Rhinolophus ferrumequinum: one gene and its partners. The protein of the gene in region 2 interacts with the protein of the main gene of each other region in a pairwise test. Links are inferred from orthologs where the notes say so. Each region holds a gene or a part of one and is shown on either strand. Other genes may lie near its edges. The genes, in order: TRAF3IP3, TFIP11, CFAP206 and LATS1.

Region 1 (7,638 bases), on a different chromosome or scaffold from region 2:
ACGTGGAAGTTTTATTATACTAAAAGGTCCTCCAGAGAGGCAAACTTGCAAATGTAGGAGAGAAGGAAATACTTATCTTCCTCCTTCCCCGTGGATGGATAAGTATGACAACCTTATTAATTGACTGTAGCACCCCTGAGAATGAATACTTGTGCTTGGGGTGTTTGTGTGGACACCTGACTAAATAGTTACAAGCTAGACACTTAGAAGACTAACAAGGAGAGTTTGCAAGTCACTCGTTGGGGGAAGCCTTGAAAAGGAACAGATTTAAGTGTGCCTACCCTGAGCCACTCTGCAATTTCCCCTCACCACCCACCCCTTCTACCTCTTCAAATCTTAGGGTGCCAACAGGCCTCCATGGGCATCCTGTTAAGAGTGTCTGTGGCGTTCTAGAATGAATAATTAGACTTGAGGAGTGCATTGATGAGACAACTGTGCAGGGAGTATAAGGGAGGAGTCTAAGGCAAGAACAACTCTTATGGGCAAGGTTGCCATTTCCCATAAGATGGATAAGGAGTCATCCCGTTAGGTAGGAAGAGGAATAAAATTAATACTAGTAGCACCCATAAAGGGTTCAAATTCTTAGTGCTGTGTCTTATGTTATAGCAGGAGACATATTAGCATACAGTTTTAAATTTTGCCTTTCATATTTAGGATTCCCTCTAGTTACCTCAACCCTACAATAAAATCTGATCATCCCATCCATGCTTGTGTGATACTGTGAAGAGTAAAGCAACAGGGTTACAAAGCAAATTGTCGCTTACCCTATATTTACCCCTTCATAGGAACCCATAGAGGGCCCAACACCTATCAAGGAAACCATGTCATGAATTTCCAGGATATGACCACCAACAAAAAGACTGGAAATGGTGAGGAGAAGCACAGAATTCTGGCCAGTAAGTGCCAGGTGACCAGCTCAAGACTAATCTAAACCCTCCTCTGTACTGACCCATACCATAGGAAGGGGACTCTTAGGTAGAGGCAGGTTGATGATTAAATTGCATATCTCTACATGCAATTTAGAGATATGATAAATGATTTTGATCGTATCAAAAATGATATGGTAATTTGATAAATGAGAGTTTTCTTAAATCCTTTTTATCCAGATTTTCAAACCACTAGCATAGTTACGCAAATGTCTCTAAAGTTATTTACATTTCCAATGTATTATGTATGAAACATGTATTTTCCACATCTCATTAATAAATTTTTACAGAAGTGCTTTCTGTTTTTTAATTGCTTTAGCTACCTGGTAGTTTATTAATTTTGTGTTCTATTGGTATTTCTACCTCTCTGCACATGCACAAACAAGAACCAGCTCCTGAATTTATTCACCAATTCTGCTCTGACTTGTAACTTATATTGTTTTCTCCTTTTGCCTTCTTTTTATTCTTACTTCCTTTCCTTGATTTTTCTGACCATTTCTTAGAAATTTGTTTGAAAATAAATAGCTAATTTATTTTTAATCCTTATTTAGTAATGAAAATATTTAAGGCTATGAATTTTCCTTGGGCCCTGCCTTGGCCACACTTCATAGATTTTGTCCTTACTGTTCTCTTTAGCGTTATTTTCAAGGCACTCTAAATTTCAGATTTAGTTTCCTCTGTATTTTAAGAGTGAACCAGGAGAATTTTTCTCCAAGAAGTTGAAGGGTTTATTTATTCCCATTTTTGTTATTTATTTCTAATTGTGTTGTACTGTGGTCAGAGAATTATACCATAAGAGAGCAACTTCTTTTTAATATTCTGAGGTTTGCTTTATGATCAATATGATCAATTTTCTTTTTTTTTTTAAATTAAAGTTTATTGGGGTGACAATTGTTAGTAAAGTTACATAGATTTCAGGTGTACAATTCTGTATTACATCATCTATAAATCCCATTGTGTGTTCATCACCCAGAGTCAGTTCTCCTTCCATCACCATATATTTGATCCCCTTTAACCTCATCTCCCACCCCCGTCCCCCCTTACCCTCTGGTAACCACTAAACTATTGTCTGTGTCTATGAGTTTTTGTTTCTCATTTGTTTGTCTTGTCCTTTAGTAGTTTTTGGTTTATATACCACATATCAGTGAAATCATATGGTTCTCTGCTTTTTCCGTCTGACTTATTTCACTTAGCATTATAATCTCAAGATCCATCCATGTTGTCACAAATGGTCCTCTTTCATCTTTTCTTACTGCCGAATAGTATTGCATTGCGTATATATACCACAACTTCTTTATCCATTCATGTATCGAAGGACATTTTAATTGTTTCCATGTCTTGGCCACTGTAAATAAAGCTGCAATGAACATTGGAGCACACGTGTCTTTATGGATAAATGTTTTCAGAGTTTTTGGGTAGATACCCAGGAAAGGGATTGCTGGGTCATAAGGTAATTCTATTCATAATTTTTTGAGGAACCTCCACACCGCCTTCCATAGCGGCTGCACCAGTCTGCATTCCCACCAACAGTGTGTGAGGGTTCCTTTTTCTCCACAGCCTCTCCAACTCTTGTTACTATTTGTCCAGTTGATGATAGCCATTCTAACGGGGGTGAGGTGATATCTCATTGTGGTTTTTATTTGCATTTCTCTGTTGATTAGTGATGTGGAGCATTTTTTCATGTCTATTTGCCATTTGTATGTCCTCTTTGGAGAAATGTCTCTTCAGGTCCTCTGCCCATTTTTCAATTGGGTTGTTTGTGTTTTTTTTGTTGTTGAGTTGCATGAGTTCCTTGTATATTTTGGATATTAGCCCCTTATCAGAGGCACTGTTTGCAAAAATCTTCTCCCATTCAGTTGGTTGCCTCTTTATTTTGTCGATGGTTTCTTTTGCTGTGCAGAAGCTTTTAAATTTGATAATAGTCCCATTCATTTATTTTAGGTTTTATTTCCCTTGTCTTTGGAGTCAAATTCATAAAACGCTCTTTGAACCCAAGGCCCATAAGTTTAGTACCTATGTTTTCTTCTATGCAGTTTGTTGTTTCAGGTCTATGCTTAAGTCTTTTATCCATTTTGAATTAATTTTGGTACATGGTGACAGATAACAGTCCAGTTTCATTCTTTTGCACGTGGCTATCCAATTCTGCCAGCACCATTTATTGAAGAGGCTGTCTTTTCTCCATTGTATGTTTTTTGCTTCTTTGTCAAAAATTATCTGTCCATATTTATGTGGTTTTATTTCTGGGTTCTCAATTCTATTCCATTGGTCTACATATGATCAATTTTCTTGATGCTTCATAGGCATTTGAAAATAAGGTATATTCTCTATTTCCAGGGCGCTTTCTCTCTCTCTGTCTCTCTCTCTCTCTGCCCCCATGTGTGTGTGTTTCTCTTTCTTTCCCTCCATGTTGATAGATAAGTATACAACCTTAGCTCAGGCTTTGATGTCAAGCAAAACTGCATGAACTTGAACATACTGCTAACCTCTCTGAACCCCAGTAAATGTGGGTGTAGTGCATAGTCCTAAAATGGATTTTGATTTTCACATACATTTCTTTTCTATTTTTAATGGAGCCCACATAATTGGTCCACAGGAATTTCTGTTACAATCTCCAGTCCTCTCCTATGCTCCATTACCCAAAACTCCCAAAACGTCTCATTCTTCTATCACAATAAAATTTTCTTATTCTGCCAGCTTGGGCTCCCCAGCCCCTCTGTCCTTTACTCACTCCCATCTCCATATTTTAAGCCCCAGAGACAGGACCTTGGGCTACTGTCTCTAGTGCTTAAAAATCCATCCTCTGCACTTCTGCCTGCCTACTCCTTGTCCTTTTCCTCCTCAGAGAATGGGGCAAATAGTAGGCAATGGAGAAGACATTGACATAATCCCCATGTTAATAAGTGTTATCATAGCTATTTAAACATCTTATTATGAGCCTCACATGTGTCAAGCCTTAGAACTCACAGGTACCATATAAATCATGCAACCACCATACTGAGTGGACCATTCAGACAAGGTGATTTGTACAAGGTCACAGAGTGATTCAGGTAACTTGTCCCAATCCAGTTCCCTTTCCACCATCTTATCCTTGAACTTCTGGGAAATGTCCTGACTATATTATTTATAATAGTTGCTTTCTAACGGACACAGATCAGTTCCATTTAGTTTTTCCCCTAAATTTCCCAGTCCAATTGACTAGGGAATTTTTATAAGATTCTGCCTACTATTGCTCCCTTCATCCCCCAGCCACAGATCTACCACCTTTTCAAACACACCCCCACCCCGCCACTTCAGAAAAGAACAAATTCAGAGTTGACCTCATTCCAGAATTTTAAAAAAAGACACCAGGTACTTCAGAAGAGCAGAGACTCTTTACAACACCAGGACTGGGAAGAGGTAACTAAAGAGAAAATCCTTACACAGAGAGCTACCTGATATACATGAAAGAATTACACTAGGAACATCGTTTTTAGGTCAAAAAGGCATTTTTCCACCTCATAGAAACTGCAAAGTTTGAATCTGACGTAGAGACCCATCCTTGTCTACTCCTGAAAAGGGATCTTGACTCGAAATTGTCTAAGAGCTCAATAAAAGAAAAGAAACTGTCCGAAAGTTCAGACCAATACAATAGTAAGAGAAGTGTGCCCAGGGTGCCTGCTGATGGGAGGAGTTCCCGAGCCCAGCCCTGGGGGCCTCAAAGGTTCAGGGGCCCACTCAGATTGTGCCAGAGAGCAAGAGAGAGGAACTGGGGTGAGCAAGCATTGTGGCTTTGTCTGCTTCCTGTTTCAGCAAAGCTTCTGTGTGAAAAGAAACACAGTACCGAGAAGGGAAATGCTAAGGGGGCACAAAGCCATGGACTGAGAGCTTGCACTTTACTCAGCTACTGTCTTGCCCCATCTGAGACCAGAACCAAGATTTTCCCAGGAGCTGGAAGGCTTTCCTGAGCTGCTTGGGTTGGAGCCCGAGACCTGAGGTAACGGAGAAGGAAGATGTTTTTTGTCCAAGTTGGGGGCCTCTGACTCTGGGGTGGGACAGAAGACTGTCTGTCATCCAAGCTTCCTTGGGCTGAAGGGGAAGACACAAGAGAGGATGGTGTAGTTTAAGCGTGTTGGGTGTTCGATAACCAAGAAAGCATCCTGTGTTGGTTTCCAGAGCCACTGGCCACAGCACAGCGGTAGAGCTTCCACTGCTCCTCTGCTCCACCTGTTAGATTAAATTAGAGTGAATCAGATGACAGGTTTCAGGCTACCCAGTGACAGGGGCTTCATTTAATGACCTTTTCCATTTCCCTTCAAAGCAGGGATCCCCAAAACAAGAAGCTGCCTTTCCAGCCCCTGAGGTGTACACCTTTCTAAGCTCACACTGAGAGCTCTGGACTAGGAAGGCCTAGTCCATGCAGGAAGCCATTCACTGCACACAGAGCCAGGAAGGAGGAGCAGAGACTTGGAGAGGCAGCAACGAACCACTGTCAGGTGAAGGGCAGTGCGCTGATATCTCCCTCTGGCAGTGAGGAGAGCTTCCCACAGCCAGTGCCTCATCTCCCCCGAGCTCCAACTGGGCCCTGTCAGGCTGCCAAGGGGCACCCCACAGATGCCAGAAAGCCCGGGCAGTGGCCCAGTGACCTTTCGGTGAATCAGAGAGGGACCAGTTCCTTTTTCTTCTTTAGCCCCTCCCTGTCCGTCAGCTGTCCTCCATGGCCTCTTATGTTTAAGCAAATCAGAACAGAATAGTCCAGATGTCCCAGAAGGCTGGGTATGAGTCCCCTCAGCTGTCCACACCAAATTGACCAGGGTGAGGCCCTGGGTGGGGGAGGAATGCTCCCTTCTCTAAGGAACCATTTCGACTGCAACGCCCTACTTGGGTAAGAAGCCCCAACATCTGCCTCTCAGGAAGCAGAGCAGGGCAGCGTGTGTTTCAGCAGACCAGTACAGACAGCCTGGTAAGGTGCACAGACCTCTCTATCTCCTCCCCATGGCCCTTCCCTCTACACAGTAGGACGGTAGGAGGATTCTCCAGAAGCAGGGATCTGCCTCCTCTACAAAGCCTGCTGATTACCTGGAGCCAAGCAGGGTGGGCACCCCACATTTAATGGCGGATGCAGGCAGGCTGGGCACCCATCTCTTCTCTGCCTTTCTACCAGGCCTAATGGAGAAGTTGGTTGTGTCCAGAAGCAGAGAAGTCTTTTCTCTTGTGGCCCAAACCCAGAGGTCAGGTGAACCAGAGTAGTAAATACGATTCCATCCCGGGGCCAGCATTTTCTCCTGTGGTAAACAGTACCCCTTCAAAGAGAAAAGGGATGGGGGATTAGAGGATGGGGCATTCTCAGTCCTAGGAGTGCGAGGTTACTTTGGGGCCTTTGTCTCATAGCACTGAGTCTTCAGGATCCGCGATCAGCAGGACAGGGCTAGTCACAATCATAGCTTACCTTTATTATCATTGCAGAAGGCTAACATGTATTGTGTGCTGTGCCAGATACTTGGTGTGCATTTTCTCTGTAATCCTCATAACCTCATGAGGTAGATTCTCATTTTATAAATGAGAACACTGAGGCTTAGCACATAGGGAGTAGGTGACAGAGCCAGGACATGAAGTCACACGGTTTGAGCCCAGAGCCAGGGCTCCCCCACCTCCCCATCCATGGCAGAATAGCCAGGGCTCTGGCACAGGATGCCATGGTGTAGACTCTGGACATGGAATTCACTTGCACATAATCCCAGTCTCTGCCATCCAGTCATTTATAACTTAATATGAAAGGGCCCCTCAGATCCTTATCTAGGTTTTTAAATAAAGAAAGTGGCAGGTGGGAAGTCAGGGGACCCCTACAGAGTGAGCAAAAAGCCTAGAAAGAAGGGAGAGCCATCCATGGATGGGACCACAGGACAAGCACTGACCACCTTACAGCTCTGCTTGGTCAAGGTCAGCCCGGCCCAAGACCAGAATACGCCCCTCCAAGCCTCGAGTCAGGCAGGTGAGAGCGTGCAGGGCTTGACCACTCTCCAGGAATGAGACGTCCCTGCCCAGGACCCTGGGGAATGAGTGGTGTGATCAGAGAGAGCAAGAGTCCTGCAGAGAAGCCCGGACGGAGCCAGCCGGCAGCGAAGGCCCATGAAGGGGCAGAGGCTGCCTGTTGAGTCTGCTTACCTATAAATAAACCCAAGGGGCCACAGCTGGCTAAGGCCTGCTCCTGGTGACACTGGGGTACCCTTCTCTGACGCACCCAGGAACTAAGTTTCCCAGGGTAGTGGGTAGTCAGGTTGTGGGACCCAGAGGAGAAGCGGAAGCTGTAAGGGGGAGTCCCCCTTCCTGCCCAGTCACTCCAGTGATGAGTGGAGACAGGGCACAGAATTCCCAGTGCTCAGGATCCAGCTCAGCCAAGCTATCAGAGGGTTTAGGAGAATAAACAAATTTGCAGAAGGTAGGTGAGGGAGAGAGAGAGAATGGCACAGAGAAAGAAGAAGGATTTGGGGGTATGTGAGTAGCAGGTAAGGTCATGTAAAGGGGCCACAAAGTGTGGCTTCTACATGAAGGCCTAGGGACTTTTGGTTACTGTTTCTGTTTGTTTTTGTTTCATTTTTGTTCGCAATAGCCTTATCCAGGTATACTTGTGTGATTGCTGGTTTTGATGGCACAGTCTGTGTGTGGGCTAAGGAAAGCAGAATTGGCACCATACTTAGCTTTGACATGGAGGTGATTCCAAAAAAATGGAACACTC
Region 2 (7,937 bases):
GTTTCTTAACCTGTAAAATGGGCTGATGATAACGGGGCCTTTCTCAAACAGAAGGTAAATGAGACCAGGCAAGTGTAGAACCCACAAGGAAGCAGCCAACATATGCTGGCTGCTCTTACTGCCTTGTAATTATGCAGTTCTTGACCCCTGCTCTATTTACCATCCACTTTTAGATTTCCTTGCCAGACGAAAAGAGATTGAACTGTACTCTATTCTCGGGCTCCTTTGTGAAAAAAAGCACAATCTCAGTGGGCTGGAGCCTACAGGCCACGGATGGGGACAGGGAGACAAACCCAAACGTGCTGCACACTCTGGCTGAGCAAGTCGCAGCCCACACATGTACACATGACTTCACATTGAGGAGACTTTCGGCTCAGTCCTCACCTCCCTCCCACCATCCTAGCCCAGGCCTCCGCCACCTCTGCAGGGACTGTTGCCTCGGCCTCCTCACAGAGCTTCCTGTCCACCGCGGCTCCATGCCGAAAGGTCTGCACACCAGCCAAAAGGTCACTAAATGTAACCCTGCCCCATGTCACACCCTCTCTACACAGAGCCACAGGCCTCTTCTCAAGCTGCACTCTGCTCCCCTCCCTCTCTCCGCTCCATTCTGCAAAGTCATTCATATCCTTGTGGGTACCCGGTTGCCGCCCAGCAAGGGCCTTTACATACTCGTGCCTCTAGCACCTTTGTTACCTTCTATTTTTCTATCAGCTCAAGGGTCACTTCGCCAGAGAAGTCTTCCCTGGCCTTCCAGAACAGGTAGAACACCCTAAAACATGCTCTCCCTCAGGTTCTAAATCACAGTTACAAACTTCCATTGTGTGAGCTGTTGAATGCCTGTCTCCATCCACGAGGATCCGGGCTCTGAGCAAGGATAGGCTTATAGCATAAGGCCCTACGCACGTGCTCAATAAACACGACTGACTAAGTCAGTGAAAGAACAGCACTCGAACCTAAAGAGGAAACAGGGCCTCCCTCCTTGAAGTCACAGCTAAGGGACGCAGGACGGCCGGGAGAGAAGTATATTTAGTGGGGTATCTTCCCAACTCCCCCCCCATGAAGCCTACCCCTTCTCTAAAGCAAGGGGCAGCAGCCCCAGGCCAGCCAGTACCGTTTGCCTCCAAAGCTGGGCCTCTCTTCATCCGAGTCTCGCTCTGCCCACACTCCGTAGATGGCCTCTTCCTTGGTCTGCCAGTGGCGCTGCCGGTTGGGGTTGAACTCATTCTGCAGATCCCAATCAGTGATCTCGAAGTTCTCCCGCTCATACTCATCGTCATCCATGTGGCCTTCCCCGTCCCGATACAGGTGGGACAGCGACATGGCCAGTCACTAACGGCAGAGACAAAAAGGGCACAGTCTGTGGTAAGTCCTGAGAGCAGCAAGAGAAGGCTTCTTTCTGAGTTCCTGCGCCTTGCTACCTTTAGAACGTCCTCCAAACTCAGAGTCTGTTAAAATCATTGTTACAATTCAAAAAAGCAGACATTAAAAATGTGTTTTGGAAACCCATCAGTCCTAAAACAGGTGGAACAAAAGATTAGTCCATCCAACAGTCTATGTGATTCTTAAGCATGTATTTCCTTGTCCTACTGTCATAAAACTTCTCTCATACACACTCACACAAACCAAACAAAAATAATTAAGTTATTCTATATATTATTGCCGTAGAAATTGTGCAGACTTCATCCCAGATCCGCATTTTACTTTTTTTTCCTATTGTTGAGAAAAGAGTTATATCTGGACCTTTGGCAGTCCCAGGAAGGGATTTCTTTAAAATACGCTTTGAAACACATTACTTGATGAGACTCCAACACTTAGTTTTCCTCCCAAACATGAATATCTGATGAGCTGGAGGGCAGTCGTGATTAAGAACTACCTAACAGTTCAACATCTATTGACTGGAACAGAAAATTCGGTTCTTGGTAGCTGAGTGATGAGATTCTGCTCTTAAATGCATTAACTACCGTGCCAACCTTAGAGAACGCTTGCCAGGCAGAGTCAATGAGACGATACAGTAACTCAGAATCTAAGTGTTCAAGGAACAATAGCTGTTACTGTAGCCCACGATTCCGTTCATCAACATCACTACCATTGGACTAGGAAGTGAACCTAGCAAAGTGATTGTGAAATCAGGTGCTAAAATCCCAGCCTAAGTTCAAATCCCCCCTCTACCAGGTACTCGGTGTATCAGAATTACAGGCACATGAAGTTTGAAACATGGTGCACTACACAGTAATACATTCAATATATGATAGCATCTGTGATTCTTCTCTACCAGTTGCTGCAAGGAAACTTCAGGGTCAGGGAATTCACTACTTCTACAGGCAGTGTCAAACTCTGCTCAGCTTTGTTAGTTTTCCCTGCTGCTTCTACTCACTGGGGCACCGGTTCGGTGCTAGTGGACCCAACACATCCAGGAGTGCAAAGGAGGGAAACTGCTGAGTGCCCGAGTCAAGAATACCACGGTCTCCCTGAGCACAGGGCATGGTAATAATCACAGAGTTGTCGCGAATTAAAGAGCCCTCAGCTGGTGCTAAGTACCTGCCGGGCATTTAAAGCCAACAATCTAATGCAAGCATGAAGACACTTCTACGAGGTTGGTACTATTAGCGTCTCCATGCTTCAGATAAGAAAAATCAGAAATTAAACAACTTGCCCTAAGTTCCCCAGCTGGCACGGCTCGACATCAGGTGGGCCTGCAGCCCGCGGCCAGGCTTCGCGGTGGAGGTGGGTTCCCCACGCACTCCAGGCCGCGACTCCCGGTAACCCCGAGCGGGCCCGCCCCTCTCCCGGCCGCGGCAGAGCTGTTTGCGAAACGGCAGCCACCCCCGCGAGGCCGAGGCGTGCGTCGCCCAGCCTCACACCCACTCCCCCTGCTGCGGAGCTCCCCCGTCCCCTGCCACTCCCCGGCGGACTCACCTAGCCGGAGCCCAGGGTCCCAAAGACCGGGTCGGGACGCGCGACGCTCAGACAGTGCGAACCCGGATGTGCCGGATCCGGCGCGCCGGAAATGACGTTGTCCGACAGCGGAAATGGTGCGCTGGTTGCCATGGCAGCAGCGGAAGGCTTCTGCGGCTTTGGTGCTAAAGCAACCGGGCTGAGATGCTAGAAAGGAGACGCGGGTATTCGGGGCCCCAAATGGCGAGGGGATGATATCCCGGCTCTGTCAGCCTCCCTGCCGTGCCCGCTTCGGGGTGACGCCCAGCCGGTAATGACTAGTGTGGACGTCGCCAAGCCTCCTTGGCGGGCTCCTTTGCCAGCCGGAAATTCTAATTCTGTAAAATGGGGATATAGGACTAGCTCATAGGATAGCTGTGAGGGATCCTATGAGACATTAAGGGGCGGGGACACGGCATTCATACGGGAATAATGAAGGTCAAGACCGTATCCTGTGTCTTTGGAGTCTCAGTATGAGCATCCTGTGGACACAGAGCATTGCCTTTTATCTCGGAGTTTGAGGGAGTGAAGGACTGAATGGGTAAACTCTAGAGGTCCCAAGTATTCCCTCCAGGAAATCTTTCCATTCTCTTTCCAACAGGTTGGTAAATCCATTCATTCATTCGCTGATGTAATAAAAATACATTGAGTGCCTACATTATGTTAAGTTCAGAGGATACAATGAACAAGACAAGCGCCGGCCAGTCCCAGGGAATCCCTCACCAGCTCAGGACTCTGTGTGCGCACACGGGCCCTGGAGTTCTAGCTCAGCTCTGCCACTTTCCATCTGTGGACCTTGGGCAAGTCATTACATCTAAGCCTCAGTTTTCCGCAAAATGGTTGAAGATCCAATGGATAAAAAAGATAAGCAATTAAAACTATACTCGGTACACAGTAGGTGCTTAGGAAGCGTTAGCTGTTAGTGTTTGCTTGTGTTCTCTCTCCTCCCTACGATGGAAAGATCCAAGAGGCAGTTATTGGAGTGAACAAAGAGCACTGGACTGAGAGTCAAAAGACTTGGGTCTAACCTCCCAGGGTTGTAATTAAGTAAATGAGAACCTACATGAAGTAAATTAAATGCCAGCTTTTTGGGAATGGGGACTGTGATGTAATGGTCTCTGTAGCCTCAGTGACATGTTGCGTGATTGTGCCTGACACGAAGTATGTACTCAAGAAAGAAACTGGACAGTGTGGTTTTAGTAGAGGAGAAGGCCAGAGGGAGAGCGTCTAACAGACTAAAGTTCCACTGAGGAGCAGAGTGATGGAAACATGGAGATGAGATAAACCATTTTGAGTCGGGGCCTGAAAATGTGTATGCATCTGTTTATAGCCCAAAGCCAAAAATATAAGTAAGCTCAGCTTGGCTTCTCTGTAGCTATGTCTATAGCTTTACAGCCAACTTTCTGGAGCTGCAGTTACTTTGATCATGAGGGACTGATGGATTTGCTTCACCGAATAGACCCCACCATGTGGCCTCTGGAGAAGAGACCTTAATGGACCGTTGTGGGGTCGTTAAGAATGCAGGCTCTGAGGAAGTGGTCAGAGTGTGCTTCCTTAAGAATGGGACCAATCGAAATCACTTACCACTTGATAAGATGCCCCGAGAAGATCGCAGCATTGCTCCTGTGATATTCCTGCCAAAGATGCATACTCTAAACCAAATCACGAGGCTAGATCAGGCAAACCCAAATAAGGGACATTCTACAAAACAATCGGCCTGTAATCTTCAAAAGTGCCAAGGTCGTGAAAGTCAAAGAAAGACCCTGTCACCGTTCCAGACTGAAGGAGTCTAAAGAGACATGGCAATTAAATGCAATCCCATGAACTGGATCTTTTTGCTATAAAGGAAGTTATTGGCATAACTGATAAAATTTAAATGGGATCTGAGGTTTCCATGGTCATGATGTGCCCGTTAATTTCCTGATTTTGATGGTTGTCCTGTGATTACACTGGAGAATGTCTTTGTTTGTTGGAAATACTAAAGTATTTGGGGGCAATAGGAAACTTAACCTCAAATGATTAAGAGAAAAAAATGTTTTCTCTATGTACTTAGAATTTTTTTTAAAATGAAGATTCTGGAGTAAAACTTCAAGGATCCCAATCTCCTTTTGCTGCTTCCTAGTTTTGAGAGCTGGAGCAGGTTGCTTCACCTCTCTGCACCTCAGTTTTCCTATCTGTAAAATGGGGATAATGACAGTATGGCTCTAAAAGAGTGGTTTTCAGGACAAAAAAAAGAGTGGGGGAGTGTGCTAATTAAAATATGTAAATCTGGTGTAGTAAAAGCTTCGTACATGGTTGGGGCTATTTTCATTCAAAAGACCCAATCTCATACCTTTGTGAGGAAGGTTTCTCAGCCTCAAAGGTCAGTGGTTTTTCAGAATTTCTGGGTTCAAATGCACAGACTCAGGGAAAGCAAGGAGAGAGGCAGCCAGAGGTTTAGATTCAGGATCTCATATCTATCCTGGTCTCCTGTTACTGTCCAGAAAAACCCTTGCTTTGGGACTCAGGGACATCCAGGCCCGAGTGTAGATTCCCAATGAGGTATTGAGACATGTGGCCTTCCCAGAAGGGGTTGCTAGGCAACAAGGATCATTAGCAGGAGCCTGGCAGGACCCTTGGACACTCATGAGTCCTTCCCTCTCTTTTCACAGCTGAGGTGATGGAGGAGGCCACGCCACGAGGAATGTGCCCAGGGCCACACAGCGAGTTGAAGGACAGAGCCAGGCCTGCAACCCAGGAGTTCAGACTTCTAGGCCAGAGCTTTCCCTGCTATACCATGCATGGGGCCCCCATGCTATCACTTCCTATTTATTTGAGTTAATACCTCTAGAATGATTCCTGTCTGTTCAAGTCACAAAAACAAAGCCTCTGCATATGTCACCTCTTAGGTTCCTGAACCTTCCAAGGTAGTTTCTATTATCACCTGAGTCTACACTCTTAATCACGCCTTTATACAGCCTGTCACATACAGCACAGTTCCCATACTGCCTTCAAAAGATTTGGGGGAGGAAATCCTTGCTCAGTTACCACTTTAAATAGTTTGATACCATAGAAACAATCTGTAAGTGGCATTTCAAAGCTGATATATTTAAAGTCTAGCACAAGTACCTTTTCTAGGACAGTGACATTATACAGTTGCACATGGCTTATTCTTATTTTGAATCTTGTCACAAAAATATATTTCGTGTCCTGAATTGAAAATCCAGATCTGCCGAGATTAGCAAATTTGGTTTCCCTTCACTGTTTCTTACAGATGGTTTCTACTCTTTCAAAAACTTACGAACACTCTATCCCTATGTGGAAAGCTGGGACATGAGGTTCTGCAGGCCTAAGGCATTATTTGTAAAGCAAGCATCCTCAAAAGCACACAGGTTGAGATGAGGAGCCACAGCCTTCTTCATTCATTCATTCATTCATTCATTCACTGAGGCACTCATTAACAAATATTTAATGAATTCCTATGTATCATCTACTGCGATGTAACAATTGCCTTCAAACTGAGCAGCTGGGAACAACAGTGAACATTACCTCACGATTTCTTTGGGTAGAAATTCAAAAGCGGCTCCGCTGGCTCATTGTGACTTGACTTCTTCCTTGGGGTTGCATTCACGATGTCAGCTGGGGCTGCAGTCCTCTGCCAGCCTGACTGGAGCTGGAGGATCGACTTCCAAGGTGATCCACATACATGGCTGCAGGCTGGTGCTGGTTGTGGGCCAGAGGCCTCAGTTCCTTGCCATGTAAACCTCCACACAGGGCTGCTGAGTATCCCCATGACATAACGACCGGTCTCCCTGAGAGTGAGTTGAATCCAGAGAGAACAAGGCCGAAGACATGACCTTTTTTTATGATCTAGTCTTCAAAGTCACACACTGTCATTTCCCTAATACCTGGCGTGCTGCATGATGAGTCCTATTTGATAGGGTTGCCCGATTTAGTAAATCAAAATACAGGATGCCATGTTCAATTTGAATTGCAGATAAGCAGTGAATAAGATTTTAGTGTATGTCCCATGAAGTATTGTAAAATACGAAAAAATGATTCATCGTTTGATCTGAAATTCAAGTTTAACCATCCATGTTGTATTAACCTGGAACTCTATTCAGCGTGGGAAGGGACAACATTCAAAAGGGGTGTGCATACCAGGAGGAAAGGACCACTGGGAGCCACCTTGGGAGCTGACTCCCACGCCCGCCATATGCTAGGCACGATATGGGCATAAATGGTGAGCGATGAAAAATAATGGTTCCCAAACTCATAGTGTATAGTCTAATAAGACCAACTTGAATCAAGTTACCAGGCAAATAAATGGAAAACCTTGAGTATGATAAAGTGCTTCAAAAAGAAGTAGCTGGAGCTTGGGTCAGGGATGGGGTCCTTTTCAGAACAGCCATTTTTGTTTTATATTAATAGATTGAGCTTTTACATGTGACTGGGTTTTTGTGTGCATTGGGGGCAATATATGGAAGATTCTGCCCCTGAAAGAAGGAAAAAAAATCCTGAAAATACACACACACAAATACCATTTCCCCCCAAATAAGACCTAGCCGGACAATCAGCTCTAATGAATCTTTTGGAGCAAAAGTTAATATAAGACCTGGTATCATATTATATTAGACTGGGTCTTATATTAATTTTTGCTCCAAAAGACGGATTAGAGCTGATAGTCCAGCTAGGTCTTATTTTCAGGGAAACACAGTAAATACAAGCAAAAAATGGTGAAAACTGAATACGGTCTGTGGTCTGTAGTCCACAGCATTGTACTGTGTTTCCTGGTTTTGGTACGGACTACAGTTTTATCAGATGTTGGCCCTGGGGAAACTGCAAGAAGGAACTTTGTATTACTTTTGCAACGTCATATCTACAATTATTTCAAAATAAAAAAAATTAACCAACAGCCCATTTAAAAAACCAGCAACAACAGAAACAAACAAGTTTAGGTTAGAATGACCCAGACTTGTGGAAGGACTTACGATGGAGTCGGGGCCACTTGGTCAAGTGCACCC
Region 3 (7,491 bases), on a different chromosome or scaffold from region 2:
AATGATGTCGAAAGTTCCTGCCTTCTCTAGTTCTTCAAACTGGTTTTCAGGCACATCTACTTGATTTCTAACTATGAATTATTTTACTTCGGCTTCAATTTTTCCTTCAGAATAGAACAATAGAAATTACGCTGAAGCAATAATTATATGAATTTTAATGTAGTACTATGTAACTTTAGAGTATATGACCAGTCAGTTAAAAATGTTCGCAATGTACATTAGTTTAATAACAAGATGTCTCTAAAATACTGTGGCCAACACTGCTACCAGCCAGTATCACACCCCTTCTTCCTTATTAGCAAAGCCCCATTTTGGATTAGGGCAAAGGTGTGTTCAATTAAAAAAGAAGAAAAAAAAAATCAATGTCCCAAGCTTACTTGCAATATCATTCTGGTCACTAAACCTAAGCAGATGGGAGGGATAGAAAGTGAGAGGCCCAGCTGGTCCCCCTCCCCATACCTGCCTCAAGGTGAAACGCGATCATGCTACCATAGGATGAAATCCATATGCACCACAGTGACCCAGGAAGCCAGGAGAAACAGCCTATGAACCTCTGGACTTTGTTTTATGAGAAAAAAATCAATCCCTTATTTGTTTGCACCACCATTTGGTGGGTTTTTGTTTCATGGAGCTGAAAGGAATAATGGCTAACATACATGCTGTATTTAGAATTGCAAATAAATGTTTCAAAATTTGAGAATTGTTGGATAATCACCTTAACAAGTTTCTGCACATCACTTTTTATGAGGGTTCTATCCATGTTAAAGCCATTACTTGGATCCAGTACAACAGCTTTCACCTGAGAGTAGGAAAGAGTCCATTAAATAATTTTATTTCATATTATTATGAAATTAGTTTAATATGTTTTCATTTTTTAAGTAACTGTCTCTTGATTACTCAGGGGTTGATGATTCAGCTGACTTTCTTATTACCCAGCTCATCAACACCTTCATTAGAGGTTGAAGAAAGGAAGCAGTAAACATCAAATTTGAATATGTGCTAGAAAAATTATATGGAGAAACATGTTAAAAGCAATGGCTAGATTTTAGATTGGTAAACTATTTGAATATTATTGTGTATTGTTAAATCAAAAGCCAAAATCGAGATACCAATGTAATTAGTAATTTTTACAACAGTAAACAAAACAGATGTTTAACATAGATGTAAAAATAGATGTGAAAAAAAAATAGATGTAAAAACTCCAATACAGGACATTACTGATGTTTCTAAAACTCATCAAGATCTTGTAAATCACTCTCTACAAATCTAGAACTGACATGCTTTATAGACTTTTAAAAAATATTTTTTTTTGCTAACTGGTCCAAAGATATCGATGTTTTCAACTGAATAACATTTAGGAAAGCATTAAAGAATTTTAAGAGGAAAATGGGCACTGCTTAACATATTTTAATAAAGCACTAATTCACAAAAATATTCATTCTTACCATAAAAGCAACCAGAGTTTCAGAAACAATCTCTCCATGGGCTGCACATTCTTGTCCTATTTCTCGAATGATATTCTTTATAACACTTTCTGCCTGAGTGGGAGGCATTCTAACAAAATAAAACAATGATTGTGTTTTTCAAACTGTATTTACATATTATTTTTCCTTCTTTAGATTTCTCCACTATTTCATTTGTAAAGTCATAATATTATTTATTAACTTTAGTACTTAGCATTGAGGCGCCCCCTCATGTTTTCATTGGTTAGTTTTATATTTATCAATATTAAGGGCTTTATTGAGGTAGAGAGCAAGTGGGACTTCAAACGATTGAAACATTTCCTCTTTATTTAAATAATGGCGATTACCAAAAGTACATTATATCATGATATTTTTTAATTAAAATAAAGGCTAAACAGTATGGGGGTGTGGTAATAGAATTAACAAGAAACTCTATCCCATCTGTATAGGTGGCAGAGAACAGCTTGAAAGAGGAAATGCTATTCCACATTTACTAAATGACCTTTCATACTATAGGAGTCTTGGAAAAGAATTCTTGCTCAGATCATCTAAATTCTCTTTCCTGCATATCCAAGTTGGAGTTTGGGCTCTTCATTAAAAACGTAAAAACAAAAAGAAAAACATACTATGAGAGTTATGCGTCATGGAAAAAAAAACGAACTCCTGGTTATTCCATTTACTATAAACCAAGATAAGGTGGTAGGTTTTAATGGTTATGGAGTTGCCTGATTTTCCTGAGTATCAGTAGCTGAGCACAGGGGAACTTAGCGTGTAGAGAACAACAAAGGCAATTCCACGTAGATAACGCTAACTCTCAGCATTAACAGAGTTCAGGCAAGGTAAGCACTTGCCATTTTGTCCATTAGAACCAGACTGCCTGTCATCCATTGTGACCCCACCATTTTCTAGCTGAGACCTTGGGCATGTGCTTCGCTTCTCTGTGAGGCGGTTTCCTTATCTGAAAACACAGATACGATTACTACCCCCCTTCTCTGAGTCGTTGCGAGGACTGAGTTTTATATTTAGTGGTTAAAATACTACATGGCATAAAGAAAGTTCTTAAAATAGCAGCTTGTAACAAGTAGTGTTAGCCGCGCGTTTGTGCGCATGTCCGTGTCTTTGTGTGCGCGTGCGCGAGCGCTGTCAGGCTCCTCGCATTGGGTGGTTACTGACGCCCCTCAGTACCTTCCCTTCCCCACTCTGTGAAGCACTAAATCTCCGAAATTCTGGCCCGTGGGGGTGCGAGCGCCGCGGAGCAGTGTCAGGAAGGTGAATTAGAGGTCTGACCTGCGAAGCGGGGCGCCTCCAAACCCAAGTGACAAGTGTTCCGGCTCGGCGGTCGCGCGGCGGGAGGAGTCCTGACTGACAGTTAAAACTCGACCAGGCTAGACCGGATCGCCCCACGCTCGCCTTTTCGTGGGGTACACCTCCAGTTCAAGGGCGTGGAGCCCCGAATGGGCTGACATTGGCGGAATCGAGAAGAAGAGTTGTGTCTCTCCGACCTACTCCGGGGTCTTTGCTCCCGCCTTCAGGGCAGCTGGGCGCTCTCCGCGGCGGACGCGTAACCATAGAGATCGAACGCTAGAGACCGAAGGGGGTGGGGCCATGGTGTGGGCGGGGCCAACCTTGTGAGTCTCTCCCCGAAGGATGCGCGGGAAGAACTTTAAAAACCAAACAAAAACACAAAGGCTTAAACCCCAGGCAGAGAAGAACAGGTTCACTACACCTCAAGGTTAAGAGTGACAAATACAAGATTTCTTAAACAAGAGTATTAACTTGCTAGCGTGGGAACCTACAGGCGTTTGAAAAAAGGAGGGTCTTGGGGAGGCAGGAGCCAGTCCGGAGAGGTTGTATCGTTGAGAAATGGAGTTCATATGAAAGTATCTAGTATTAAAAAAACAAAAGTGAAAAGGACCGCAGTTTAATTTTTTGTGCTGTTGTCAAAGGAAGTCCGTAACAGGATGGTCCAAGAGCACAGGAATAATGACACATACTAGTCAGGAGTTGACATATTGAGGTTTTGTACTTTAGCATTAATGTTCGTTAGGCCCGCGACTGACATGACAGTATATAATAGGATCAAACTGATATTAGAAGCAGAGCATCAAGCAAAGTTTTATTTTTAAACAGGCCACTGCCAGTAATTTTTCTCAAATTTCAAAAAAATATACTGAATATACTTTGCTTCAGGATATTCCCAGATTACTAGAAAATAAGTTTACACAAAAATACGCAAGTCATAGTATAAAATGATTTATTTTCCCCTTCTAGAAAATTTTCCTGGAATGTGGATGAAGCTTGTGCAAAATTAGATTTTTAGAGTAGCAAGATACGTAATAGTAAAACATTAGAATTCTACACATCTGATATTTAAAAAATGTTGATTAAAGTGAGATATTAGGCATTACAAATAATGTGAACAAAAATCTTAAATTTTTGTCTTGTATTTTTAAAAAGCCAAATGCAAATTTTATAGAAGTATGACCTCAACCATATTCATATACACACATATATATTAAAAGTGCATAAGTCAATTTATCAATATCATTTGTTGTGTTTGGATCTAAGTAAGGGTAAGTTATTATTTACTTTGTTTATTTGTTTATTACTTATTTGAGTGTGGTTATGAATTTTTATGCTTTTCTGATATTTTCTATAATGAGTATATACTGTCTTATCTATAAAACAAAATAAAGAAAACATAATGGAGAGAGGGGGCTAGCTACACGTAGAGAATGAGCCCAACTTGGAAAATGTAAATATACAAGACCAAATAACCAAAAAGAAAGTGATATAGCAAAATTTTAACAATGGTTGTATCTAGGCAATGAGTTCATGGCTGTTTTCTTATTTATGCTTTAAAATATCTAGCAAAATTCTTTCATGAGTATATATTACTTATAAATTAGAATATCAAATATTTTTAAGATGGTAAGAGTAATGCCATCCTGTTAAATATAATTTTAACTAATGGGCAAATCCTGGCACAAATACTTCCTGGGTGTGTCTGATACTAATTTCATACCTAAAATCAATTCTCTTCTTCCTTACTAATCCAGATTATGTCATGAATGACAATATTATCTGCTGGGGGAAAAAGAAAAAGAAAATGTATCTCAACCCCTCTTTCAGCTAGGGATGGCCTGTGACCTGGTACCGACCAATGAGATGTAAGTGGAATCACTTGATGGGGTGTCAGAAAAAGAGCCCTTTCATTTTATATCTCCTTCCCTTTTCTGTGTACTTAAAATAAAAATGTGCTGGCCGAAGTCCCAGTAGCCTTATTGTGAACATGAAGATAACGATGGTAGAACAAATATCTAAAAAGGAGCCTCAGTTCCTGATGATATCACAGAGCAACCATATCAGTCTTCTTGACTGGTTACTTCCGGATTTCCCCTAACATCAGAGAAAATAAATCTCTATCTTATTAAGCCATTATTATTTAGGTTTTCTGCTACATTCAGCCAAATTCAATCCCTAACTGCTAATTACAATAGGTATGACTTTGGAAATATTATTTAGCCTTTTGTACTACACTGAATTATTGGCCCTAATTCTTCCCGTCTCCTTGCATGCATTCCCTTGCCATGGACTTATGTTGAGTATCCTTCCTCATCCTTTGACTTTGAGTTTAGCTATATAACTTGCTTTGGCCAATGACATTATGCCAAGTTCAGAGCTAAGGTGTTAAGCGACCCCACCACATTTGTGCTTCCCCTCTTGAGGATGTGTCATTGGCATGAGAAGAACACACCTGGCTAGGTCTTTGGTCCCAGGAGAAGAATGAAAGTCATATAGAGCAGAATTGCCTGAACCACTTTTTAGTGAGATGCAGAGCTGTCCAACAGGGCCTGACCTCCATCAGCCTAACTCCAGACAACCTCTAGATGTGTGATAATAAATGAACATTGTTTAAACCACTAAGTTTTGGGGTTTTGGGGTAGCTTATTATACAGTATTATTATGGTTCTAGTTCATCTGTAAACCTTTCAATGGTCAAAATTTCTCATTTGTAAAAGAGATAAAAGCATCTAATAGAGTTGTAAGAATAAAATGAGGTAATACTTATAAAGCACTTAGCATACTGTCTGGCATAGTTACAAGGATTGATAAATTTTATATATTATTATTACCTTTATTACTATTATTGACAAAATCAAGTATGAAAATATATTTCATATTCACATGACTTAATTGAACTTCCAGTCTTTGCAGAACTAATTTTCCTAGTTGTAACATGGCAGAAATTTAAAAAGAAACATGTAGGAACTAAAGTATCTCCAGAGAATGATTAGAACAACCTTGTCAGAAAAAAAAGGCGGGGAAGGAATTGGGTATGCTGACCTTGAGAAAAGGTAGCATGAGAGAATTACTCTCAGTTTTGTTAGAAAGCAAACTTTATATTGCTTCAGAACACCAGATTACAAATCTACATACAGTAGTGGGTTTAACTTAACATAAAATAAATAAATAGAGCTGACTAATTGTGATAGAAGTCATACTAGAGGACATAAGCACCATTTTATTGAATGTTTTCATCTAAAAGCTAAAGGATTATCTTCAAGAATGTTGTAGACTTAATTTCTATGACTAAGCAACTTAAAGATGTCAGGGACTATCACATTTCTAAAGGGAGGGGAATATATATTTCTTTTCCCTGATGTCTTAAGAACAAATGAATTGAGCATTTTAACATGTTTACAATTTTTTGTTGAATGTTGGACAGTGTGAATGTTATTCTTGTTGAGTGAATAAATTTTTTGTCTCCCTTTAATGAGTGTTGAATTTTGTTTTTTTTCAGGCATTTAAATTATTCCATTGAGGGATGTTTTCAAACTTTACTAAGATGAGTCTAGAGTAGTCTTCACTCCAGGGATAATTTGGCCCTACTCTAAGTAATGATTGCTCAGAGCTTTGCACTGGAAAACCAGTGGAAGCAATTCTGGCTGCTCAGAGCTCGAATGTCTGCCCATCTCTGTGAGTTCTGGGAATTGTTTAGCTTACAACTCCCTGCTGGTTCTTTGCTGGTTTGTGTGTAATTTCAGTCTACGTATGCACAGCCAAGTACTTAGCAAAGACTCAGATTTATGGGAATCTTTTTCTTCATTGCTCTCTGCTTCCCAAAACTCTGCCCTTCAAATTCCAGCTCCCTCAGCCTCTGGGAATGGTGATCTCTGTCTCCTCAACTAGGCTAGGTCTCTGAACTCTATTTGGGTTTACTTTCCTGTGACCTGGAAATTGCCTCCAAGCAGAAAATTGGAGCAATCAACCTTTTCTGTCATTGACCTTTATCTCAGTCCTGTGCTATTTTCCCAATTTCTGGAAATAGTTGTTTTATACTATATTTTGTCCAGTTTTCTGGTTGTTTGTGGCAGGCAGTTAAGTCCAGTCCTTGCTATTCCATCATGCTCAGGAGTGGAACTGTGGGTAATCTTGGAGAGAAAATAATAGGAAATAGTCTTCTAGGAGAGCAGAAAACTATGCTTAATAGAAATTTTCAGTTCATAACTGAGAAGTATGAATGCTCACCTGACTGTTACAATCATGAATATAAAGTAAAAACAATCTGCCAAGCTAAGTGACTTTCATTAGAAATTGTTCAGTATATAGCTCAGGAGCAGGTGAGAAGAGTAGATGGTTGGCTTAGTCTGGAATTAGGGTGTTGTCAGACCAGTTGTTATGATAGACTGGGGCTTTTAAACCAGCTTTGATCCAGGAAAGCGATTTAGCAGTTCTTTAGATATTATAACAACCTTACTAAGAAAGTTTCCATTAAACAGAGATGTATAATTAACATCTGGAAGAGTAGAGTTTACAGTTATTACACCAATAATAACAAATGGCTCTTCCTTATAACAGCCTCACAAGAGAGTGAACTATTGTCATTTTATTATACAGATTCAAGATTCAGAGAGCATCAGAGACCAGCCTAAGACCACACAGCTCAGTCACAGAGCCATCTTAGTCTTATTGCTCTAATTGGTATTTAAAATTTGAAGAAAACTCTTTTAAGCGTTTGAGAAAG
Region 4 (7,243 bases), on a different chromosome or scaffold from region 2:
CATATCTTCTGTAAAACTGTCTTAGCTGATTTTAACAATTCTGATACTTGTTCAGTTAGACTGCTGAACTAGTTGGACTTAAACCCGTAAATTATCAGACATGATACTCCTAAGCCATACTTCCCATATTCTTGAGTTAATGCACATGGTTTTGATCCTTTACTATAGGTCCATCTTTCCTGCTCCAAGAAGACAAATTTTATTTTTGTATAGAAAATAATTAGCCATCTCTTTTCAATCTTTTCTGTAAGAGCTAATTATTTTCAAAATTGCTCATCACGCTTTCTGCATTCTCATCCCACTGGTTAGGAGATAGGTTAAATGGACTAAAGTGCTTATGCCTACTCTTAAGAGTCCTCTCAATTACCAGTGATACATGAATCATTGGTATTTGGCTACAGTCACTGAAATATTTATAAACCAACCTAATTTATTGACATTCTGCCCCATTTATCTTGTTCACAAGGCTTACTGTGAGAAAACATCTATGCTGTAGCTATCATCCTATCAAAAAAATTGGCCTAATTTAAAAATTCCTTGTCCTTTGTGAAAATACCATAGTATTATGGAAATAACCTTTTAATAATCCATTCTAGATTCTTGTCCAAGAAGCATACTGAGTTCACCAGTGTACGGTGTTTATCAAGACTTCATTTAAGCTTACAGTATCAATGTCATATGTAGCTCAGACTAATTCGATGAAGCAGTAGCAGTGCTCTTGTTTTCCAGATGTGAAACCCAGGGAGATCTAAACTATGACACGCAACTATTTGAACTATTTCATTGACGTCATTCTTAACTACGATTAATTAAATGGCGGTGTAGAAGAACTAACAGCTACATCTGTGACTAGTCATCCTAGCATCAAAACAATTCCCAACAACGTTTCACTATACTAGAGGTGTACATGGAAGAAAAAAATGAAGGGATGGGCATGGTGAGAAGAGAGAAGTCGAATGACTAAAATCTAGCTGATCACTTAAATGTTTTTAATTAATGAAAAATAAACTAATGTTCAGTTCCAAACTGTCATGAGTGGACTTTGGGGGAAAGTAGCTGACAGACCAGCCTAACAAAGCCATCAGAAATGCATTCACTGTCAAAACAATTTTTGTGCAGGCCATGGCTATATGAAGTTAAACTGTAATACTAGAATATAAGAGACAAGATGGCATAAGTAGGTCAACACCGTGCCTGCTTCCTTCTGTGAACACATTAAAATTACAACTAAATTATAGAACACTCAACCTGCAGAACAATCTGAAGTCTGGCTGAACAGAAGTTTTATAACTAAGGATATAAAGAAGCCCGTGGAAACTGGTAGGAGGGGTGGAGATGTGGAACAGGCCCCACACCTGTATGTAGTGGTTGGGAATCAAAAGGGATATCACAGCTGTGAAGGTTCCCCCTGGAGAAGCAAGAGACCACAGCCCCACGCCGCCCTCCACAGCCCGAGTACTGTTGCCGGGAGGAGGAGCCTCCACAACATCTGGCTGTAGAAAACAATGGGGATTCCGACCATCTGGGTGGGATGTAAGTCTTCAGGAAACCCAGATTTCCTCTTAAATGGCCCTCACACAGACTCACTCACTCATAGGCACTTACCTTGGGCTCCAGAGGAGGGACAATGACTTGGGGGGCATCAGAGCCATACGGGGGGCAGAATGAGGTGTGTGGCCTCAGGGCAAGGGTTGAAGGACAGTCATTTTCCCTGTGAGGAGGCCTCCCGTGCCGCCAGAAGGCGGGTGCCATCTTTCCTGTATTGAGCCTGCCCCCTACAATTACAGCCAAATCTGAATCTGATTGGTCTCGTGAGCTCAGATGTAAAGTACAGCATAGGGAATATAGTCGATAATATGATAATAACTATGTATAGTGCCAGGTGGGTACTAGTCAGGAGGATCACTTCTTAAATTATATGAATGTCTAATCAATACGCTATACACCTGAGTTAATATAATATTGAAGGTGAACTGTAATTGGAAAATTTAAAAGGGGGAACGGTGAAAGGGTATAAGAGGTCCAAATTTCCAGTTATAAAACAAATAAGTCATGGAGATGTAATGTACAGCATAGGGAATATAGTTAATAATATTGTGATAGCGTGGTATGATGTCAGATGGGCTTATAATAGTGATCACTTCTTTAGGTATATAAATGTTGAATAACTATTGTGTACACCTGAAACTCTTATAATATTGTATGTTAGCTGTATTTTTAATACAAATCTTTTAAAAACACTAGTCTGTAAAATAATAGCTGCAACAAATCACAACAGTTTTTACCCCTGGATAGTATGGAATGAACTTAAATTTAAAATCTCTGCCATTCAGGTCCTATAAGCAATGATACACTAGTAACAATGAGCACACCTAGAAACCAGATTTGGTTTCTAATGCCCTTCTCCAGTAAAAGGAACCAGGGCTCCTTAAAGGGGTAGGATATACACAAGATAGCCTGAAGCATCTTGTAGTGCCAGAAAATAAGGAAGTTCTAAAAAAAATAAAAAGCCCACAATAATGGGAATATATCAAAGGGACACAGAAGCCAACCGGAAGAGCTCCCAATAACCAAGGTGGAACAATTTGATCAACAAAATAAATAAAATATCCAAAGTATAAATATCCATGAGTCCACATTGATATAAACGCTTGAATGAATGGGGGCGGAGACAAATCTCAGAATTCCAAATAATTTATGTAGATTCTCTGCCATCAAAGAGGCAGCAGAATACAGCACTCTTCTCCTTCGGTGTGGGCTGCTCATAGTCTAGAGCCTTCCCCTAAGATTGTATGAATTCTTGGGAGGGCTAATGCTGTCAGGGCTACCAATAGTCTCCAGACTTCTTCCGTGTGTGCTGCTCCTCCATTCCTCCATTCATCCGAGCATGAAATTTGGTCCCTACATAATGTTGGTAAAAATACAATGAAACCAAGAAATGCCACTTCCATGAAGCACTGAGGAGCTGAGAAAGCTGAAGCTGGATCAACGGTTTTCCATCACAGCAATACAAAGACCTTCAAATACAATGGCAGATATTGCCATTCTCAGATATCCAGCACCCCTAGTAAGCATTTCCCTGGTCTTTCACCTCCACCTCCACCTCCACCCCCACCTGCAGTCTCAGACCCTTTTCAAATCTTGTAGGTTAGTTCTCTCCTGATCACTCCTCTCCCTTCCCGGCCCTTTTGTCCCCCTACTTCACAGAAGTAAATCTCCTAGTCTTAGAAAGCACAATTCACAGAGCTCCTTGAATTATCTAGGAATTTTCCCGTACATGGTGGCCTGTGGAGCTACTCACCTTTATGCTTAGAGAGAATTGAGAAACTTCAGTGAGGAAGTTCAATGGGTTGGTGATAGAGATGATGACCCTCTGGAGGTAGGATGCTATTCCAGATACATAATCCTGGAAAGGGCAATCAGGACTGTGAATTTATTAGATTCAGATCATTTATATAATTTTGAGGCTGAAAGGGACCCTCGAGGTTACTTAGTTCTCCCATTGAAGCAAGTTATACCTAGGACTTTTAAGTGACCTTGGTTCATATTCTCTATTTCCTACAAACTCTGCTTGTGGAACAGAGTTTCAATCAAGTGCTCTTAGAATGTAATCTTTTTTTATTATTATTAATAGTTTCAGGTGTACAAAACAGTGTAATAGTTAGACATTTATACCCCACAAAGTGATAACCCCCTTCCCTAATCTACTACCCCTCTGACATCGTATATAGCTGTTACAGTTCCACTGACTCTATTCCTTATGCTGTACTCCACATCCTGTGACTATATATACATATATGTATTAAATTATAGTTGAGATTCATTATTATTCAGCTTCAGGTGTACACTGCAGTGGTCAGGCACCTCCACTGTCCATGAAGTGGTCTCCTTAATAAGACAAGTGTCCATCGGATACCCTATAAAATCTTTATGATATTATTAATTATATTCCCCAAACTGTCTTTCATATCCCTGTGGCCACCTTGTGGTTAATGACTGTGCTTTCTAATCCCCTCACCTTCTCCCTCATCCCCACCCCCTACCAGCTAGCAACCCTGTTTTTCCTCTATATCTCTGACACTGTTTCTGTTTGTTTTGTTCATTTATCTATTCTTTAGATTCCACATATAAGTGAGATCATATGGTATTTGTCTGTCTTCGTGTGGCTTATTTCACTTAACATAATGTTCTCTAGGTCCATCCATATCATTGCAAATGGTAATATTTAGAATGTAATCTTTTTAATAGAGGTTTTCATATTTGAACTTCTGGATACAGTAGCCAGTAACTAATTTAACATCAGAAAAAGAAGTCATTAAGTAAAAAAAAAATTAATAGACTCTAGTAGGAAAATAATGAACGGGGGTATTTGGAAATACCAACTGCATACATTTTCAAGAGGCAGAATTGGCCAAGGTGCTCTTTACAAACATCATAAACCCAATGATTCCATCCTAAATTTCCAATTCAATTTAACAAAAAACAAAACCTCTATTTCAGTCACCGTTATTACAGTTATCGCAATAGTGACTTTCTCTTCTACCGATTTGGTTGACAGATAAAAATCTTTAAACTCTGTTACTCTTTCTTGGTTCAAAATTATCTGGCTGACTCAGAAAATACTTAAAGTCACGGATTTACTGGGGGAAAGCGTGCTAAGCAAAAATCAATTTATTTCAAAGCTGCCAGAAATCCTGAACCTTTACGTCCACAGCGAAGTTTCAGAGAGCAAATCATTGCTGTTTCCTTCTGAGAATTAAGCTTCTTTGAGAGGCGCATCTTTATTCCATATCTGTCCATTGAAAGAGCTCACTTGAAAAAAAGACTGAAGTACATGCGTGGGCTTCAGCGGGCGAGAGCTTGGTCCCACGAACCGGGGCGAGTCACCTGGGCAGCGTGAGGCGGGGGCGACGCGGGGAGACGCTGGCGAACTCGCAGAGAGGGCAGCGGGTGGAGGGCAAGAGACCGCAGGCGGCGCTCTCCAGGCGGCCGGGCGGGCAGAAGCCCCCAGTCCTCGGGCCCCCGCGCAAGCGACGCCGGGAAATGCCCACATCCGGGAAACCTGCAGCGGAGTGCGGCGGCAGCGACACCGAGTGGAAGGCAAAATGGCGGCGGCGGCGGCGGCCTAGTGCTAAGGGGAGAGCCAGGTCCCCGCGACCCTCGCGACGGGCTGCGCTGGCCTGTGGCAGCCCCCCGGCCTCTCTCCCCGCCCTGCCCCACCGAGGATACTTGGGGTCCCTGGGAGGGACTCCGGCCGCCTTGGCGCCCGCCCTCCGGCCCGTGGCCGCTGTCCAGGAATCCCGCACTCCGTTGCTGGTAGGTCCGGGGCTAGCGTAACGGGTGGGGCGCATCTCTCCTTCGGAGGCCGAGTTGGCGGGGCGGTGGCCGCCGGGGCCCACGCCCATCCCGGCTGGCTGGGCTCCAGGGGCTGCTGCGACTGGCGGGCCGGCTCGGCCCGGTGCGGGCCTGAGTTGGCTGATTGCATGGACCTGAGAGGAGCCCTGCCCTGGGGAAGCGAGGGTTGGCCGTGCCGGGGGCTGGAGGAATAACCCCAGGCTTTGCGGCCTTGGAGGTGCAGGTTAAGCTGGAAAGAGCCTGCCTTGCTGAAGGCTTTGTGGCGACTGTCTGCCACCTCCATCCCCGTCCGCAGCACGCAGGGATCAACGGTGTTTAGGAAGGAAGGAAAGCGAAAGGTGGTTCTGAAGGAGAATTGCAGTGAAAGAGCTACAGTTCTTTGCAACCAGAGGGACCCGGTCGGTCCTGAATATACCTTGAAGAAATCCTAGGAATTTCTATGTACAGTCCACTGTAATGTTAGGTTACTGTTCATAGTTGGAAGGGGTGGGAGAGAGGGAGGGCTCTTTATGGAGTAGGAAGGAGTGTGTATATAAATACAGAAAATGAAGAAAGGAAAATTAAGGGAACATTATTTATTACAGCTTCAAGAAGAATTTGTATCTTAAAAAATGCCTCTCAGGTGACTTGATTTAACCCCATTCTCTGACTTTTTTAATTGAAAGTTATTTTTTAAAGGAACAAAATTTAATAGTTTGTCAACCCATATGTTAATATGACTTAAAATATATGTCATCACGTAGAAGTTATTCATAAACCTAGTAAGAAATATAGTCGCACACACAAATAATACTGTGCCACTCCAGTTTGGGAAGTGGATTTGAATGTCTGGAATCAGGAAGCTTGTCAGGGCTTTGTGGATTATTTATTGAAGATTTAAAATTTTTTATCAAATTTCCTCCATGAGGAAGAAAAGGTAAGAATATAATTGTTCGTTGTAATTACAATGAGTGTTCTCTGCTAAGATATCTACATTGTGATTTAACTAAGGTTATTTCTTTCCTTTAGTAAGTTGACAGACAGGTAAAATGGGCTAGTTGATTCCCTAAGGCAGTGGAGGAATTTGACTGATTTAACAGTAAAAGAAGTAGCATTGTGTTCCTCTGATCAGCTGCTACTGCAAGAAACTAGATCATGGTACATGCTGGAAAGGTGCAGTCTTTCTATGGCTAAATAGTTATTGAACATGCCATGCCACTCCCTAAAAGCAAATAAAAAATTTCTGCTACATTTTTTTGGGTATGATATCATCTGGATTTACTTCTGTAGTTTGAGTTTTTATTTTTTGGTTTTTGTTTTTAATGCTATTCCTTGATGTTTTATATAAATATGTATAGCCTTGGAACAGTTCCAATTCTGGTTATTTGGTTTTCACTTTAGATGTTAGGTTTAGATTAGTGGGGGATTTTTGTAGACCACAAAAGTTATTTAGTCATTGAGCAACATTTTTGTCACATAGACATGACAGTCATTTTTCAGCATGTAGATAAAATAACACTGATTGTCTTCACTTTTGATGAGTTAATTCTTAGAAAGCGAATTGAAGGATATATCATCATACAGAGATTCTTGATTATTGCTGTCTAAACAACTAAGACTGCTGCTAAGAAAGAAACAGTACATGTTACTGTTGCTATTCTCATAACTGATTTAGTCAGAGCGTTGAGACAGGCCATCTTTTTTATAAACCTAATTCAACCCAAGATAACACTCTGAAATGTGTTTTCCTAGGTTGGACAAGATATCAACAGTATTTCTTTGGATTTACTGACATTTGTTGTCATTTGATGAAAGTCTGAACTTTCAAAGAAATGTAGGTTTTGTCTGTTTAGTCTAACCAATTTCATTGTTCGTTCAAAGAATGAGTGAGTCCTGATCCCTGCTCTTA

The links.
Region 1: the proteins of TFIP11 (region 2) and TRAF3IP3 interact in binary tests that used the Homo sapiens proteins (3 or more experiments, as listed by UniProt). The two-hybrid records come from large-scale screens. The link is inferred for Rhinolophus ferrumequinum from reciprocal best matches to the Homo sapiens genes TFIP11 and TRAF3IP3.
Region 3: the proteins of TFIP11 (region 2) and CFAP206 interact in binary tests that used the Homo sapiens proteins (3 or more experiments, as listed by UniProt). The two-hybrid records come from large-scale screens. The link is inferred for Rhinolophus ferrumequinum from reciprocal best matches to the Homo sapiens genes TFIP11 and CFAP206.
Region 4: the proteins of TFIP11 (region 2) and LATS1 interact in a two-hybrid assay, tested with the Homo sapiens proteins (2 studies listed by BioGRID and IntAct). The two-hybrid records come from large-scale screens. The link is inferred for Rhinolophus ferrumequinum from reciprocal best matches to the Homo sapiens genes TFIP11 and LATS1.

What each region holds. Positions count from the first base shown.
Region 1 is NC_046305.1:21,819,886-21,827,523, reverse strand, and holds the start of TRAF3IP3 (TRAF3-interacting JNK-activating modulator), read left to right. Parts: upstream 1-4,635; 5' UTR 4,636-4,899; intron 4,900-5,223; 5' UTR 5,224-5,319; coding exon 5,320-5,398; intron 5,399-7,638. UniProt on the Homo sapiens protein: Adapter protein that plays essential roles in both innate and adaptive immunity. Plays a crucial role in the regulation of thymocyte development.
Region 2 is NC_046308.1:16,470,184-16,478,120, forward strand, and holds the start of TFIP11 (tuftelin-interacting protein 11), read right to left. Parts: upstream 3,002-7,937; 5' UTR 2,917-3,001; intron 1,330-2,916; 5' UTR 1,321-1,329; coding exon 1,112-1,320; intron 1-1,111. UniProt on the Homo sapiens protein: Involved in pre-mRNA splicing, specifically in spliceosome disassembly during late-stage splicing events. Intron turnover seems to proceed through reactions in two lariat-intron associated complexes termed Intron Large (IL) and Intron Small (IS).
Region 3 is NC_046286.1:44,652,061-44,659,551, reverse strand, and holds the start of CFAP206 (cilia- and flagella-associated protein 206), read right to left. Parts: upstream 3,010-7,491; 5' UTR 2,751-3,009; intron 1,555-2,750; 5' UTR 1,554-1,554; coding exon 1,446-1,553; intron 800-1,445; coding exon 716-799; intron 1-715. UniProt on the Homo sapiens protein: Essential for sperm motility and is involved in the regulation of the beating frequency of motile cilia on the epithelial cells of the respiratory tract. Required for the establishment of radial spokes in sperm flagella.
Region 4 is NC_046286.1:93,093,517-93,100,759, reverse strand, and holds the start of LATS1 (serine/threonine-protein kinase LATS1), read left to right. Parts: upstream 1-4,231; 5' UTR 4,232-5,316; intron 5,317-7,243. UniProt on the Homo sapiens protein: Negative regulator of YAP1 in the Hippo signaling pathway that plays a pivotal role in organ size control and tumor suppression by restricting proliferation and promoting apoptosis.